Ovis aries: one gene and its partners. The protein of the gene in region 1 purifies or fractionates together with the protein of each later gene. This does not show direct contact. Links are inferred from orthologs where the notes say so. Each region holds a gene or a part of one and is shown on either strand. Other genes may lie near its edges.

Region 1 (4,937 bases):
AATGGGTGCAAGATCGAAATAGACATTTCTCCAAAGAAGACATACAGATGGCCAAAAAGCACATGGAAAGATGCTCAGCCACTGATTATTAGAGACACGCTCTATCCATTCTGTACAGAACAGTTTGCACCTGCTCATCCAGGACCCTGTCCTCCTCCTTTCCCCCACCCTTGCAACCCCAGGTCTGTTTTCTATGTCTGTGAGTCTGTTTCTGTTTTTGTTTGTAAAAATAAAAACTACAATGAAGTATCACCTCACACTGGTCAGAATGGCCATTATAAAGAAAAATCTACAAACAATAAATGCTGGTGAAGGTATGGAGAAAAGGGAACACTGGTACACTGTTGATGGGAATGCAAATTGGTACAGTCACTGTGGAGAACGGTATGGAGGTTCCTAACAAATCTAAACAAAGAACTACCATATCACCCGGAAATCCCACTCCTGGGCATAGATCTGGAGAAAACTATAATTCAAAAAGATATATGCACCCCAGTGTTCATTGCAGCGTTATTTACAGTAGCCAGAACACGGCAGCAACCTAAACGTCCATCAGCAGAGGAATGGATAAAGAGCATATGTACTGCCATGAACACAAGGGTGCAGGCATCTTTTTGAATTACAGTGTTGCCTGGATATACGCCCAGGAGTGGGACTGCAGGATCATACAGCGAGTTGCTAAAGTTTCTGATGTTCTTTTGACAATAGAATGGCTTCAGAGTACATGAAATTTAACGCCTGGATTAAAGCGGGAAGGAAAAAATTGTCTCAGACAAATGAAACACTGCAAGTGATGATCAAAATCGGACTTAGATTTTATAATAAAACAAAAATACTACATGAAATTAAGAATAATCTTCCCCATACTAATTTTTCTTTGTTATTAACCATCTTGAGGAAGTTATGTGTTCTCTGGCACATAAAGTAAGTAATACTGGTCTAATCCTGTATACTTTTCTTGTATGTGGGGGAAACTGGCCAAAAGGGAGAAAGACACACTTAGTTCACACAGTGGATCAGAAAGCAGGTATCTGCTCGGCAGAACCATCTTTTCTATCTCTAAACACAGGTGGAAGGAAGACCTCTGAAATCCCTGTTTCCTAAACTCTTTTCAGACCCATTTCGATGACCCCCTCTGGGACAGGCCACGTTAGCATTCAAGCCCCAGATTCTTCTCCGTGAGTTCAGAGACCCAAACCCTCACCCAATGTCTTATTATAGTGGCCTTTCTGAAAGGTTCACTCAGTTTCTCCAGAGCTTCAGTTTGCCAGTCTCTATGAATGATTAAAAATGTGCATTGGGCGCCACGGGCTTCTTTCCAAAAGTACCCAGGGTCACTGGTACTCACCCTGCAGACACCCGGGAGTCCGATCCCACCACAACGCCCCCATCAAACTCTACTGCCATGATGGTTGTCTGCGGAGACACAGAGGACAGAACGTCAGAGCAGGAAGAGCCTTGGCCCCTTCATGTTAGATAAGGAAACATTCTCAGAGAGGGGGAGGTGACTGGCTCAAGGTTATCTGGTAATTTAGGCCAGAGTTGACTCCCAGGATGGGATTTTTTTTTTTCTTTCCGTTTTCTCTATTGTCTTTCCTGGCCGCAAGGGAACATCAGAGTCTGGCCAGTGGTATCACATAGAAAGAATGGCCTCCCTAAAATTCTTTCCACTGTGAAGAGAGAGGTGGGGTGAAGGTCCCAGGGCTTAAGTGCTCCCTCTGAGTGAAGGGCTCAGGGGGGCACTTCCAGACCCTGATGGTGCAGCCCCACACATGCATGACCTCTGCGTGCGCTTGTGTGTGCACAGATGTGCTGCAGATCTTGCCACACAGCAAGTGACCGTGACCTTGGGAAACAAGCTCAAGCCTTTTTATTAGCCCAGAATCATCCACCCCACTCTCCCCTTAATCAGTTTACTGAACAAGGGAAAACATCTCAGAGGTCAGTGGTTACCATGGCCATGTGTCAAGGAAGGAGGAAAATATCAGGAAACACATGGGACATTTAAGAATTTCTGATCAAGAGGTAAAGAACAAGGGGACTTCCCTGGTGGTCCAGTGGTTAAGACTGTGCTTCCTTTGTAGGGGGCATGGGTTTGATCCCTGGTCAAGGAACCAAGATCCCACATGCCATGTGGTGTGGCTAAAAAATAAATTTTTTTTTCTTTAAAAGAGTAAATAGCCAGGGAAAGAGATCTGTAGCAAGAGAGGATTTGATTGGGGAGTTTTAGCTGACTTTTCCAGGTCAAGAAAAGAATTAAGGAAAAGTGAAGGAGAATAAAGCCACTTTTTTTTTTTTTAAACTTTAAAGATCCTGCAAAGAAAGAAACTGCATCATACAGAAGGCAAGTGACTTGCCCAGGGTCACACAGGACTAAAACCCCCATCCAGCTCCCAGGGTTTGTTCTGACTTGTACTTCTTACTGTTCGTCTGGTGGTGAGGGGAAGAGTTTCTAATTTATGAATGGCTTCACTGCTATATTCCTCAGGGCTTCATAAGTTGCTCTGGCCTCCGGGGATACTGGCCGGAGTGCTCATTTTGACACACTGATTCATCGTGAAGAGCGGACCAGAGATTAGGGGTAACCCCACCCGAGAGGTTAATCCGTTATAACAAGGCTGCCGGAAGCTGAGAGTGGTGGCGGTCGCTTGAGAGCAGAAGGCAGCCAGCCAAGGGCTGCCACCAGCCCCCCGGGGGCCCAGCCTGGGCAAAAGTCCTCCAGCAGGTTGTGGAGGTGGGTGAGGAAGACACGGGGAGGGGAGCGCGGTGCACGTGGGCCGAGTAGCTGCCTTCCTGGACCAGGCTGGGCACTGGCAGCGCCAGCTCACAGGCAACCCCCGTGAGCAGTGCCGGGGCCGTAAGTTCCCCGGCGCGAGTCCATCAAAGGTCTGTGGGGGCACGTTCCTCCCCGCACGCTCCCAAGTGCCGTCCTGTTCACTCGGGGCACCGCGTCCTCATCTCTGCGCACCTTCCCCAGCTCTCCCCCTTCATTGAAGCAGCCCCTGTCTCTAGTCCAGAGTGAAAGCGAAAGCGCTCTAAAGCAGCTTCCCCTCAACGCTTCCAGCTCGGAGCCCAAGCACCCCTTCCCCGCCGGCCCCCCGCGCCCAGTCCCTCGGCGGCCCCCCGAGCACCCCGCTTCTGTAGAGACGCCCGTGTTCCTTTTGGGATGCGCGCCCCGGCTGCTGCAAGCGGTCTCCTCCCTCTTGCGAGTCTCCGAGTTAACCCTGTGGCGCTTCCAGGGTCCGCCCGTCCCTCCGTCCCGCCACCGATGTTCCAGACTCATTACCCCGGTGTGGACTTCTCCTGCCCGGGGCAAGTCCCCGGTGGGGGCTCCGGTCCGCAGCATCCCGGCTCCGCGAGGCTCGCCGCTCCGGGCTCTGGTTTCCGACCTGGGACCGCGCGCCGCCCGCTGCCCGAGGCCCCGCCCCCGCGCCGCGCCCGCCAGGGGGCGCACGAGTCCGTGCCGCCGCGCGGGGCGGCCCGGCGCTAACTTGTGCGGGGCGGGTCTACCCGGAGACAGATGACGCAAGAGACCGGGGCCAGCGGATCTGCCCGGAGACGGATGACGCACGAGCCCCGCCTGCAGACCCGGGGCCAGAAAGTCCCGGGCAGCGCGGCTCCTGCAGGAGGCGGTGGCACGCGAGGCGGGGCTCGGGTGGCGATGGAGGAGGTCAGCCTCGGATCCGAGGTCCCTGCGCTCCTCCCAGGTGCCCTGGGCCGGCCGCCTCCGCAGGGGCCGGGCCTGGGAAGCCGGGCCGCTTTCGTTTTCTCTTTCCCCTAAACCGCCCGCTTCTGGGCAGCGCCGCGGGCTCGGCGGGCTCCCGGGACTTTCCGAGGCCCCGCCCCGGCCCCTCCCCGCGGCGGTCCGGGTTCCGGCCCGGGGCTCGGGCTCCCACAGCAGCCCGTCGCGGACAGCGAGAGCCGGGACCGCGCGCGCCCATGGCCTGCCCGGGGTCCCCAGCTCCCTGCGGCCGTCCGCGCCTCCCCCGCCTCGCCGTCGCGTGGCTGGGGACGGCGCTGCTGCTCCTCGCCGACTGGACGCTGCTCCGGCCGGCGCTGCCCCGAGTGGCCTCGCGGCTGGTGCCCCCTGCGCTGCCGCTGCTGCGGGTCTGGGTGGCGGGCTTGAGCCGCTGGGCGCTGCTGTGGCTGGGGGCCCGCGGCGTCGTCGGGGCCGCGCTGGGCTTCCGGAGGGAAGGCACGCGAGTCCTCGGGTGGCTGGCTGTTTTGGAGCCGCTGGCGGCGGCGCTGGGCTTGGCCCTGCCGGGACTCGCCTTGATCCGAGAGCTGGTCTCCTGGCGAGCCCCCGAGGACGCGGACAGCGCCGGGCCCCTGCACTGGGGAAGTCGCCTGGACGCCTTCGCTCTCAGCTACTGCGCGGCACTGCCCGCGGCCACCCTGTGGTATAAGATCAGGAGCCTCTGCGTGCAAGGAGCTCGCGGGGCTTTTGGCCTGGCGATGAGCCGGCTTTTAGTCTTCCTGGGTCCGGAGAAAAGCCACGTGCAGTTCATTTTGGCCCTGGTGTTTCTCTCCTGTCTTGGTAGGTAAGGTGGGGGCGGCGGGGGGCGTGCAACGGGAAGGGGGACGGGACTGGAGAACTGGGTAGGAATCGAGGGGCCTGATCAATGAGAGCAATTGGTGTGGGTTCTCGGAAACGTGGGTGAGGGGAAGGGGACCCAGCTCAGGTCTTGATCACCCCAGTGGAGTGGGAAGGTCCTGACTGGGCAATTGTCAGGGGTCCTGGACTCCAGGGCTGCCCTGCGTGTTGTTGCTTCACTGGCCGCCGTGGACAAGGGCTTTTCCCGGGCAGCCCATCCTACAACCGCTAGGCTTCCTCATTAAACCTCTAAAGGTCTTTGGGCCTCGTGTAGGTGGAGATGGTATCTCTCCACTGCTCTGCAGGAGAATGAATAAAGGCGAAAAGCCGGTGGGCCAGGGCC
Region 2 (5,275 bases), on another chromosome or scaffold:
CTCACACCTCTGATCTTCCCTCTACACAGCCCTGGGCCCCTGGCCTTGAAAATCGCTGGGCGGATTGCTGAATTCTTCCCTGATGCAGTACTTATTATGGTGAGGCTTGGTTTTCAGAATGGGGAGTTGGAAAGAAAGGAGGAAGGGGGAACCCTTGAAACCCTCACCAGCCCTTCCTTGTCCACACAGTTGGATAATCAGAAACTGGTACCCCAGCCTCACGTGCCCCCAGTTATCGTCCTGGAGAACCATGGTCTCCGCTGGGTCCCCAAGGACAAGAACTTGTGAGTGCCCCTCTCCTTCCACCTCTTCTTGGAAGCCCACAGCTCCTGAGCCTCCTCTGTTGTTGGTTCTGTCCCAAGGGTCCTTCTCTAGACCTAACCTGGCCCCGCTCTCTGCTGAGTTTGACTGCCATGGAGGTTATTATTTCAGAGTGATGTGGAGGGACTGGGAAGAGTCACGGCAGATGGTGGGAGCATTACTAGAGGGCCGGGCCCACCAGCACCTTGTGGACTTTGACTGCCACCTTGATGACATCCGAGAGGATTGGACCAACCAGCAGCTCAACGCCCAGATCACCCAGTGGGTTGGTCCCACAAATGGAAATACCTGAGCCAGGGCCAGAGGGGAGGCTCAGGATCCAATAAAGAGACTTGGGCTGTTGGGCAATGGTATGACTATGTTTATTGTGCCTGGGAGGCAAAGGTGAGGGAGAAACCAACAGGCAGAAGGTGGGGAAAGTCTGGAGTCCCCTGTAAAAGTCAGAAGGTCTCTGCTGGAGCCATCACAGAATGAGAAGAGGGTCTCAATAGATCATTCCCTTTGTTTCTCCCCTGGGCTTCTTGAGCTTCTCGAAGTTCTTCAGGATGATGTCATATAACACAGCCTATGGGGCCAGGGAGGAGAGAGTCAGCCACCAGCTCCCAGTGGCTCTGTACCCCATTTCTAGCCTTGTGGAGAGGTTGCACTTTGTAACCCTTCACCCCAGCCTGCAGGGTCAGGGAGTGGGTGGCTTGGGAAAGCTGCCTCAGCCCGCCCCCAACTCTCGCCTCCTCACATAAGCATTGCGGATCTCCATGACCATCAGCCGGATATCCCGGTACTCTGCCTCATCCAGCTCGTGCACCAGTTGCCGATAATCACCCTGCGGGAAACTTGGATCAGGCCTGACTTCAAGTGTCCCTCCTCCCTTGCACCCAGACTGAGACCTCACCTACCACATGGGGCTGCTTGGCTGCTTTAGTTACAGCATCACCGCGCTCAGAGAAATACCTGTGGGAAGTAGAAGGGTATGGAGCAGGAGGAGGAGGGAGCAGAGGCCTCAGTCTCTGCCAGAGGCAGAGCAATGGGCAATGACTCACTTGGAAATTTGAGTGTGGAAGCCTTCTAGCTTGGTGTGAAGGGCAGTCATCAGCTCAAACACCTTCTCCTGGGGAAAGAAAGCAGAAGGGAAAGTGGAAAGCAGCAAGGACTGGAGAGAGAAAGTTGGCAGAGGAGTGGGGCAGTGCTCTCACCTGGACAGCCACTCCAAAATTATTCCCATCCTCAATCCGAGGTATTTGTAGCTGTAGCCAGGTGGTGACCTGGGAGGAGGGAATGGCAAAGAAGCCCCATCAGTCTCAAACCCAATTCCCAGCTTCCTGTCCTTTGTTTCCTTGCTCACAGTGAATGGGAGTGTGTCAGGTCTGTCCTGAATGCCATGGCCTGGAATTCTGGCTTTACTTGCTGTGCCCTCTCCTGCTAAGACCTGGCAGGTGCCATGCCCAACTGGTAGGGAGAAAGGAAGACAAAGGGTTTGACCTGAAGTGTGTGGACGGAAGTGGGGGGCTCACCAGGTTGAGCTTCTCAATGACATCCTTGATCTCAGGCTTTACACGCTGCAGGAGGACCACAATCTTCTCATTGCAGCTCACTGGGCCACATGGAGGACCTAGGAGGTGGGCACTGGGTCAGTCACATGACTGGGACTGTGCCAGGTAAGGAAAAGGCATCCTTAGGGAGGAGCTCCTGGGAAGTGAGACACAAGTCCCTTCCACCATAGTGATACCTTTGTCTTCATCTTCCCCTTTCTTCTTTTCATCCTTGTCTTCCTTCTGCAGGGAAAGGGAGGCTCTTGGGAGTCAGGCCTGAGGCTGATTTTTCCCCGGGTTGGGTCCCTCCTCCCAGGAATTCCCATCTTGCCTCCTGCTGTTTCCTCCGCTCCTCCTTCTCTTTCTCCTTGACTGGATCAGGCACTGGGATGTCCAATGGGGCCTTCAGATTGCTCAGGTTGGCTTCATTGAGAGCTGGCTCCTGGTGCAGGGTGGGAGAAGGGCTGGAGGCAGGGGCGAGCTCTCACCTCCTCACTCTCACAGCCCCTGAAGCTCTCCCTTTGGCCTCTACTCCCTGCCCAGCCCCAGTACCTTTAAAAATGCATCCAACTCAGAAATCTTCCTGGGAAAATAGCTCCCGAGCAGGTTCTCTGTCTGTGTGTAGGGTAACGGTAAGGGAGGATGGGGGTCAGAATCAAATTCCCTTCCTAAGCAGTGAAGGAAGGGCTGCCGCTGCCTAGCAAAGGAGGGCTGAGCAGTGGGCTTGGGGAGGGGTGGGGTGATGACCGTGCAGGTCTTACCTTAGTACATAGGTCTTCACGGAACACATCCACCTGTGGGACACAAGCAGCCCTTCAGAATTTGGCTTTATGGCCAGTTTATTCGAGAACCCTTAGGGTTGCATGGGGTCTGACTTGGGTGCGGTGGGATTTGGGGAATAACATTCCTGGAAGTGAAGGGCGAACTGTTCAAGAGGGAACAGATCCCTCGGTGGGCAGTGGGAGGAGGGATGTAAGAGAGCTGCTGCGACTGGGGCAGGGTCGGAGTGCCCTGTGGAATGGACGCGGGGCCTCCCATGGTGGCAGGGCAGAGCCCGAACCCCGTCTGTGTGTGGGCTCGGGCGCCGGGCCAGCAGATTTCCCCTTCACGCCAGGGCTCCGCTTCACCTCACCCCGCTGAACCTCGGCCGCCTCGCCTCTCCTCCCGCAGGCAGACCTGGCGGGGCTCTCCGGGCTCAGGTGCTCTGGGCACGGGGCCCATGAGTGTTCGGATGACTGACCCCTACTCGAGGGGCTGAGGGGCGGGTCACGGACTCCTTCAGTGTCTCGGAGGCACCCCTCCCTGATGGGCCCTTCCTAGAACCCGCAGCGCTCACCTTGGCTTGGGCTTCGGGCAGGACCCTGAGCGTGGCCATGGCCGGGGTAGGGGCCTGGCGAAGCACGCGGAGCGAGGAGTGGGCACGGGGAAGGGAAAGTGAAAGCAGCGCTCGCTCCCCGCACGGCCTTCCTGGGTAGTGGGAGTGGAGGTACTAGAGGAGGCGGGGACAGACCAGAGAGAGGCGAGGAGCTGAGTGCCGGGAGGTAGCCCAGCCGGGGCTCCCCCTAGAGTCGGAGAGGCGCCTTTCCGCCACCCCGCATCCCCATCACTGTCGGTCTTTCGATTCCCCGCCCACCTGCCCCACCCTCCCATCGACGCCCCGCCTCCCCGGCCACGAGGCCGGGGCCCGCCTCAGGATTCCCCGCCCCTCCCGCCCCCTGCCCCAGACCTCGGGCTCTCTTCCCAGCGCCGCCTGGGACAGTGATTAGCCTTATCTGCCTCTCTTCTGGGTGGTGAAGCAAGACTTGGCTTCCCTTCCTTTGCCCTGCCAGCGTGGACCCCTAGCTCCACGGGCATCGTCTGGCCCACGCAGTGACGTTCAGACTCTGGCATCATCCCATCACAGGACCTGGTCAGCTCTCTTAAGACCCTTGTGGACTCCATTCCTCTGTAACCCACTCACCACGCAGCAGCAGGATTCCACCTTGCTCTTGCTTAAAACGTTCTCAACTTCCTGTTGACCTTAGAATCCAAAGGACTTTCCTGGTCCAAAAGGCCTATCTGGCACCTGTTCCCCTTCAACTTTGCTTTCCACTGTTTTCTCCCTCTTTTCAGTTATAAATACCTGGACTTTCCAGTTGTTTCTCAGACCTGCCAGCGTTGTTCATTCCTGCCTCAAGGCCTTTGCTCTTGCTAATCCCTTTGCCTGACACAACCTACCCTGCCTCAGGATGTCATTCTGTTCTCAGCTTAGATATCACTTCTTCAGAAAGAACTCTGCTTATAACTCCCTCCAAGTCTATTAGAAAGCAGCCTGTTTTAGTACCTTCACAGCACTATCTCTATGAAGTTAGTTTCTTTTTTGAGGATAGTGTGGTTTAGAGCAGGAGTTGGCAAACTTTTTCTGTCAAAGACCATATAGTAAATATTTTAGGCTTTGTAGTACCTGCAGCAACTACTCAACTCTGCCATTGTAGCAGGAAACCAGCTATACAGTTAAATAAATGAGTGTGGCTAGTTACCCTAAAATTTTATTTATGGACTGCTGCTGCTAAGTTGCTTCAGTGGTGTCCGACTCTGTACGACCCCATAGACGGCAGCCCACCAGGCTCCCCCATCCCTGGGATTCTCCAGGCAAGAACACGGGAGTGGGTTGCCATTTCCTTCTCCAATGCATGAAAGTGAGAAGTGAAAGTGAAGTCATTCAGTCGTGTCTGACTCTTAGCGACTCCATGGACTGCAGCCTACCAGGCTTCTCCATCCATGGGATTTTCCAGGCAAGAGCACTGGAGTGGGGCGCCATATGGACAGTGGCATTTCAGTTTCATGTAATTTTCACCTGTTATGAAATATTCTTTTTTTTCAACCATTAAAAAATGTAAAATCATTTCTTAGCTCTCAGGCCATATAAACAGTGGCCACAGGACTGTTGCTTGCTGATCTCTGTTTTAGAGCACAAACAACAGATCCATACTGCCTGGGTTAATAATTCTAGCTCCAATATTTACTAGTTGTGAAAAACTTACTTAGCTCTGCACTTCCATTTTCACAAATGTACAGTGGGAACACTCCTAACTCATGGTGTTGTTGTGAGGGCTAAATATGTGAATTTATATAAAGAATTTATAGATACGTAGAATGGTGCCTGATACAGAGTAAGCACAATAGTATTATTATTTGTAAGTTTATCATCAGGTAGTAACCCACGGGCCCCCAAACAGCAAAAACTTTGTCTTTCTTATTCACATGGCAAAGAACTATGCTTGGCTCAATGAACATCTTTTAAGAAAATAAGCATGTATAGACCCTCTTTGGAAAGACAGGGTAGAAAGGGAGGCTGAGTAGGGTGCCCAGATAGAAAGGCCCCTGAGGATGGTTAGGGGGTATTCAGTGCTGGAGGCAGGAAAAACAAATCAACCAAGCTGGAG
Region 3 (4,508 bases), on another chromosome or scaffold:
AGACAAATAAGAGTTCTTTCAACAAAAATTATCTTGTTTTCCATATATTTTGTTGCAGAAGGCAAAATGCAAGTTCTGACAGTTTATGGAAGAGTAACGTAAAGTGATTGCTCTGACTTGCTACTCACATACTTAGGAGACTGTGCTGGGGACAGGAAAACAACCAAAGGCAAGGCCAGCATGAAGACCCCACAGCCACGCCCCAACGAGGCCTCTTACAAGGGCCTCAGAAATTAACTAGTTTTGAGAGGCTACTCTTCGCAGATATTTCATGATTTTACAGGTGTGCAAATGACAATGCAATAAATAGTATGGATTTCTAACTCTTGAATACTTTATCTTCTATTTAAGAATTCAATCTGACATGCCTGGAAATTGTACTTAAAGGCAGCTGGAGTTCTGCAGATACAAATGGTTGAATACATGGAAATAAATAGAAACAGTGATCCAGTCTTTGAAAGACAATCAATTGATAAACTTCAGGTACTCTTTCTCCTTTCTCTCCATCAGCTTAGCCCTGAGGTGCCGTGGGCTCATGACACACACAGCAGAGCATAGTCCCAGAGACACACAAAGCAGAGTGCAGCCCCAGAAGCACCCCATTGCTACCCTAGACCCCAGTGCTGCAGCCCTGGGAACACTAAGGGCCCCCAACGCCACTTCCCCTATCTCCCCACAATCTTCACCTCCTTCTTTCTAAATTCCAGGGAGAAAAGGAAAGGATGGCGTTAAAATTTTGTTTTAACCTTTTAGTAAAGCAATCATTCTAATAACTGTACACATCTTAACAAATATACTTGTTCAGAGACACAGACCTACCTGCGCAGCTGGAGGTCATTACGGTGATACGAGTGGCTGCTAGAAAGAACCACCACTTTGGCGCAGCCGCTGCTTTTCACCCAGGAAAGCAGTTTTTCACAGAATGACTTTGATTTATACTTTGTATACCATGGAAAGAGTACAATGAAAATACAAAGTTAGATCTCAGATTGTTAGAAGAGTAGTCTACGTAGTATTTCATCAGTCTTTGTGATGATACTATTAACAGTTTACATATGCTAAACTTATAGTTAGTTTGAGATCCACTTATTGTCCTTGCACTGAAGGTGAAAGATGAGGGACAATGACGATAAATTTCTGCCCCAAATCTGATCAGGGGCAACAGTTAGGTAAGCCAGAAGGCAGAATGCCTGTCTAGGTCCCTCAGCACAGTCAGTGTTGTGAATCACAGGAGGAAGTCAGCTCCATGCTGAATACCAGCTAAAAAGGTGTGACAGCTGAGGCAATACTCGAACTTCGCCTGGATGCAGAACTGATGGGTGTGTGGGGAGCAGCTGGGGAAGTCTGAGTATTTGCTGATGCTCATCTCCCAGGTGTGTGGTGTACTGTAGTTGTGAAAGAGGCTCTCCTTCCTGTAGACGTGTGTTACGTGATGCTGGCACACACCTGCTTTGGACTATTTGGCAGAAGGAAACTGCACGCGCACACAGAGGATCAACCAGGTGTGGCAAGAGGTGAACAGGTGATTGACCTGGGATGTGGACCTTTCACTCTACTTTCAATGGATGAAACAAAATTTAAATAGCTCCAGGTGTCTAGTGGCTGCCAGGTCAGTGTGGACACATTCCTGCCAGACAGTGGTGAGGGCTATGAACTTGCTTGGAGACAGGAAGCTACGAGAGGATCTGACTGAGGTTTCCAGGACCTGGGGTGGAAGAGCCTGTGGGGCGGGTGGTGCAGAAGCAGAATCAGGGACATGAGAGAGGACATGGGCTGGACCAAAGTGGTGACAGCAGAAGGGGAGAGAAGCTGGATTCAAGAGTGTATTTTCAGACACACGTCATTTTAATGCAGGTGCCACAGGTTTGAAATGTAATGCAAATAGAATAAACCTGTAATATTCATATGCTTAAATTTTTTCACCCATGGTACCTGAATCGGGAATATATAGGACCCAAGCTATATGTCCCAATTCCTTTCAATATATTCAGGAAATAATAGTGACAACTCTGAAATCTTATGAGTATTTCTCTATAAACTCAGACTGCTTAACTGTATAAAGAAAGAAATGATTTTTGAATCTTAATAATGACTCAGTATTTTCTCATTATACTATACTTTAATAAACTTAAGACAAAAGCAATATACTAACCTTAATAAAAATGGATCTTAACTGAAGAGCCACTAGTTTCTTTGAAGGCAATGCATATACTGCAAGTATAAGAGAATGAAACCATATGATAGTTAAAATTAAGGAGTCATACATGAGCAATTAATAACAAAACTGAACTAGGAAAAATTCTGTATCTAAATATTTTTAAAATATATTTATTTGGCTGCATCCGGTCTTAGTTACAACACACAGGTCTAAATGCCCCGCTGCTTGTGGGATCTCAAGCTCCCCAAACAGGGATTGAAATCTGTGTTCCCTGAATTGGAAGGCGGATTCTTTACCACTGGACCACCAGCGAAGTCCCTAAAGATTTTTGCCAATTAAAACACAGAACATATGCACTACATCATTTAGCTAAAACATTTTAAAAGTACCTCAGAATTCACCCATGGGCTTTATTCTATGGAATAGATTCATTGCTGAAATTTAACTATGAGAAAATTATCAGAAATTATTTTTCTTCTTTGATTGTAAACCTAGAGGATTCCCCTGGAAATTTCTATCCTTATAACAAATGACCCCATTTTCAAGGTTTGGTTTCTGATATTGTTCCCTCTTTTCTCTAAAGAATAGTCACACTCATTGGGGTTAGAAGGAAGAGTAAAATGCAGGCGAATGTTAGCTGTGTGATAAAACACAGAAGCTATATTTATTTTCTTCAGGAGATTCAGAAAGACCTGAAGTAACACGTAAGAACTCTGTGAGTCAATATTTGTGAATTTATCCTGTGAGGAGGATCCACAGCATTCACCAGAGTCTACAAGGGGCCCACTTTACTGATGCTTAGGAGGCCCTGCCCAAGTTTACCTCCAAGAATGAGAAGCCCTGAAATGACCCGAGAACAAAATACAGAGTCTCCGAGAACATGTGATTAGGCCTCTGTGCCAGGGTTAAGCTTTCAGTCACTGTAAACATCACAGACAACCCGAGACTCAGGCACTGTGTCTGGTGGGTCATGTCTTTCCCATTCTATAGGTCTGTTGGGATCATCTCACTGCACTGGTGTGTGTGGGGTGACTGGGACCATGCAGCATCCATCAGCAAGGGTGCTGACCACCAGGCGTGTTTGGGACAAAGTAGGCTAGAGCTGGAAGCTCAGGAACCAGGGAAGTGGGCAGGCTGAGATGACGTCCATGACGCCTCACTTCTGCAGCAGCAGCAGCACTCCTGCTTTCCACCAGAGCTTCATGCACATCTTGTTTTGTTGGTAAGATCCTGTTTCCTAGCACCTTGCTCATGTGATATAACATCACCTGTCACGTATTCTGGTCAAAAATATTTAGCTTCTAAATAATCAAGGCTTTAAGACTAAGTCCAGTTTCAGAAAATACAGAGGCCAGAGGAACACAGTGGTTGGTCTGTACGCTGCGAGCCCTGACTAACCCCAACTGACAGCACAGCAGGGAACTGTGGAGATGGGTGGCGTGGGAAGGGCCTAGGCCTCCTGCAGTCAAGTGACTTGCCTCTCTGAGCCGGGTCAGTGTGCATTACGATGAATGCTACCACTGTGTGACAGATGACTTCAGCCTGCATGGGGCGCTGCACATTAAACACATAGGCCTGAGCCCAGTGTTAGCAATGCTTACACGTGCCAGGAGGACAGAAAGTAAAACTGAGGATAAGAGGGGGAAACCCCATGTTAAAAATCATTCTATCCAAGGGTACAAATACAAGCACATCTCTTGAGGGGGCTGTAATCCAGGGTGTGTGCAGGAGAGGAGGGCACCGCTGTGGATTCTAAAGAGCCACTCCAGGTACCAACGGACACCCAGGGAGAGTCTGGCTGTGACTTGACACAAATCTGCCTTGTGGAAGGATATAACACACCTTCAGCATTTATACTGAGCTCCGCTGAATTCTCTTCTGCAGTTGCATATGGATTGTTTCCAACCATTGGCACAAGACAGTCAGTATAGAAGTAACCGATCTTATGCATATTCAGTGTGGAAATAATCAGATCTATTGCAAGCTGGCCAACATTTCCAACAGATACTGCTGGCTGAAACAGTAAAAAAAAAAAAAGTTCATTAAGTTATCCAAATCAGCAGCACTTTAAGAAGTTTAGACAGAAGACGACAGTCACAGTGGACGTACTGGACGCCAATGCTCAGGTGCATCACACCTGGGTTCTGAGCTTTTCATTAGCTCCACCTGGAGACTACTGACTGCATACTTACTGAATACCTGCTATGTGTCAACCCCTGTTCTGGGCACTGAGGATGCAGTAAACAAATGGATCAGAGTTCCTGCCCTTGTGGAGTTCCATCTAGTGAGGGGGTGGTTTGCTGGGGCAAACAAAATAGATAGTAAAATACATAGCAGTAAGTACTATAGA

Evidence for each region.
Region 2: the proteins of PSMB9 (region 1) and PSME1 purify together in Homo sapiens (affinity purification with mass spectrometry; 3 studies listed by BioGRID and IntAct, counting the BioPlex papers as one, with this or other methods). This does not show direct contact. The link is inferred for Ovis aries from reciprocal best matches to the Homo sapiens genes PSMB9 and PSME1.
Region 3: the proteins of PSMB9 (region 1) and PSMG2 purify together in Homo sapiens (affinity purification with mass spectrometry; 3 studies listed by BioGRID and IntAct, counting the BioPlex papers as one, with this or other methods). This does not show direct contact. The link is inferred for Ovis aries from reciprocal best matches to the Homo sapiens genes PSMB9 and PSMG2.

Annotation. Positions count from the first base shown.
Region 1 is NC_056073.1:7,337,157-7,342,093, reverse strand, and holds the start of PSMB9 (proteasome subunit beta type-9), read right to left. Parts: upstream 3,392-4,937; 5' UTR 3,347-3,391; coding exon 3,287-3,346; intron 1,417-3,286; coding exon 1,349-1,416; intron 1-1,348. Other genes in the region: TAP1 (antigen peptide transporter 1), read left to right, coding at 3,940-4,537. UniProt on the Homo sapiens protein: The proteasome is a multicatalytic proteinase complex which is characterized by its ability to cleave peptides with Arg, Phe, Tyr, Leu, and Glu adjacent to the leaving group at neutral or slightly basic pH.
Region 2 is NC_056060.1:20,828,341-20,833,615, forward strand, and holds PSME1 (proteasome activator complex subunit 1), read right to left. Parts: upstream 3,342-5,275; 5' UTR 3,226-3,341; coding exon 3,187-3,225; intron 2,645-3,186; coding exon 2,612-2,644; intron 2,466-2,611; coding exon 2,403-2,465; intron 2,293-2,402; coding exon 2,182-2,292; intron 2,094-2,181; coding exon 2,048-2,093; intron 1,931-2,047; coding exon 1,833-1,930; intron 1,584-1,832; coding exon 1,515-1,583; intron 1,430-1,514; coding exon 1,362-1,429; intron 1,273-1,361; coding exon 1,218-1,272; intron 1,145-1,217; coding exon 1,058-1,144; intron 887-1,057; coding exon 806-886; 3' UTR 668-805; downstream 1-667. Other genes in the region: EMC9 (ER membrane protein complex subunit 9), read left to right, coding at 30-99, 190-284, 433-613. UniProt on the Homo sapiens protein: Implicated in immunoproteasome assembly and required for efficient antigen processing. The PA28 activator complex enhances the generation of class I binding peptides by altering the cleavage pattern of the proteasome.
Region 3 is NC_056076.1:43,566,934-43,571,441, reverse strand, and holds part of PSMG2 (proteasome assembly chaperone 2), read right to left. Parts: intron 4,173-4,508; coding exon 4,001-4,172; intron 2,212-4,000; coding exon 2,153-2,211; intron 939-2,152; coding exon 820-938; intron 1-819. UniProt on the Homo sapiens protein: Chaperone protein which promotes assembly of the 20S proteasome as part of a heterodimer with PSMG1.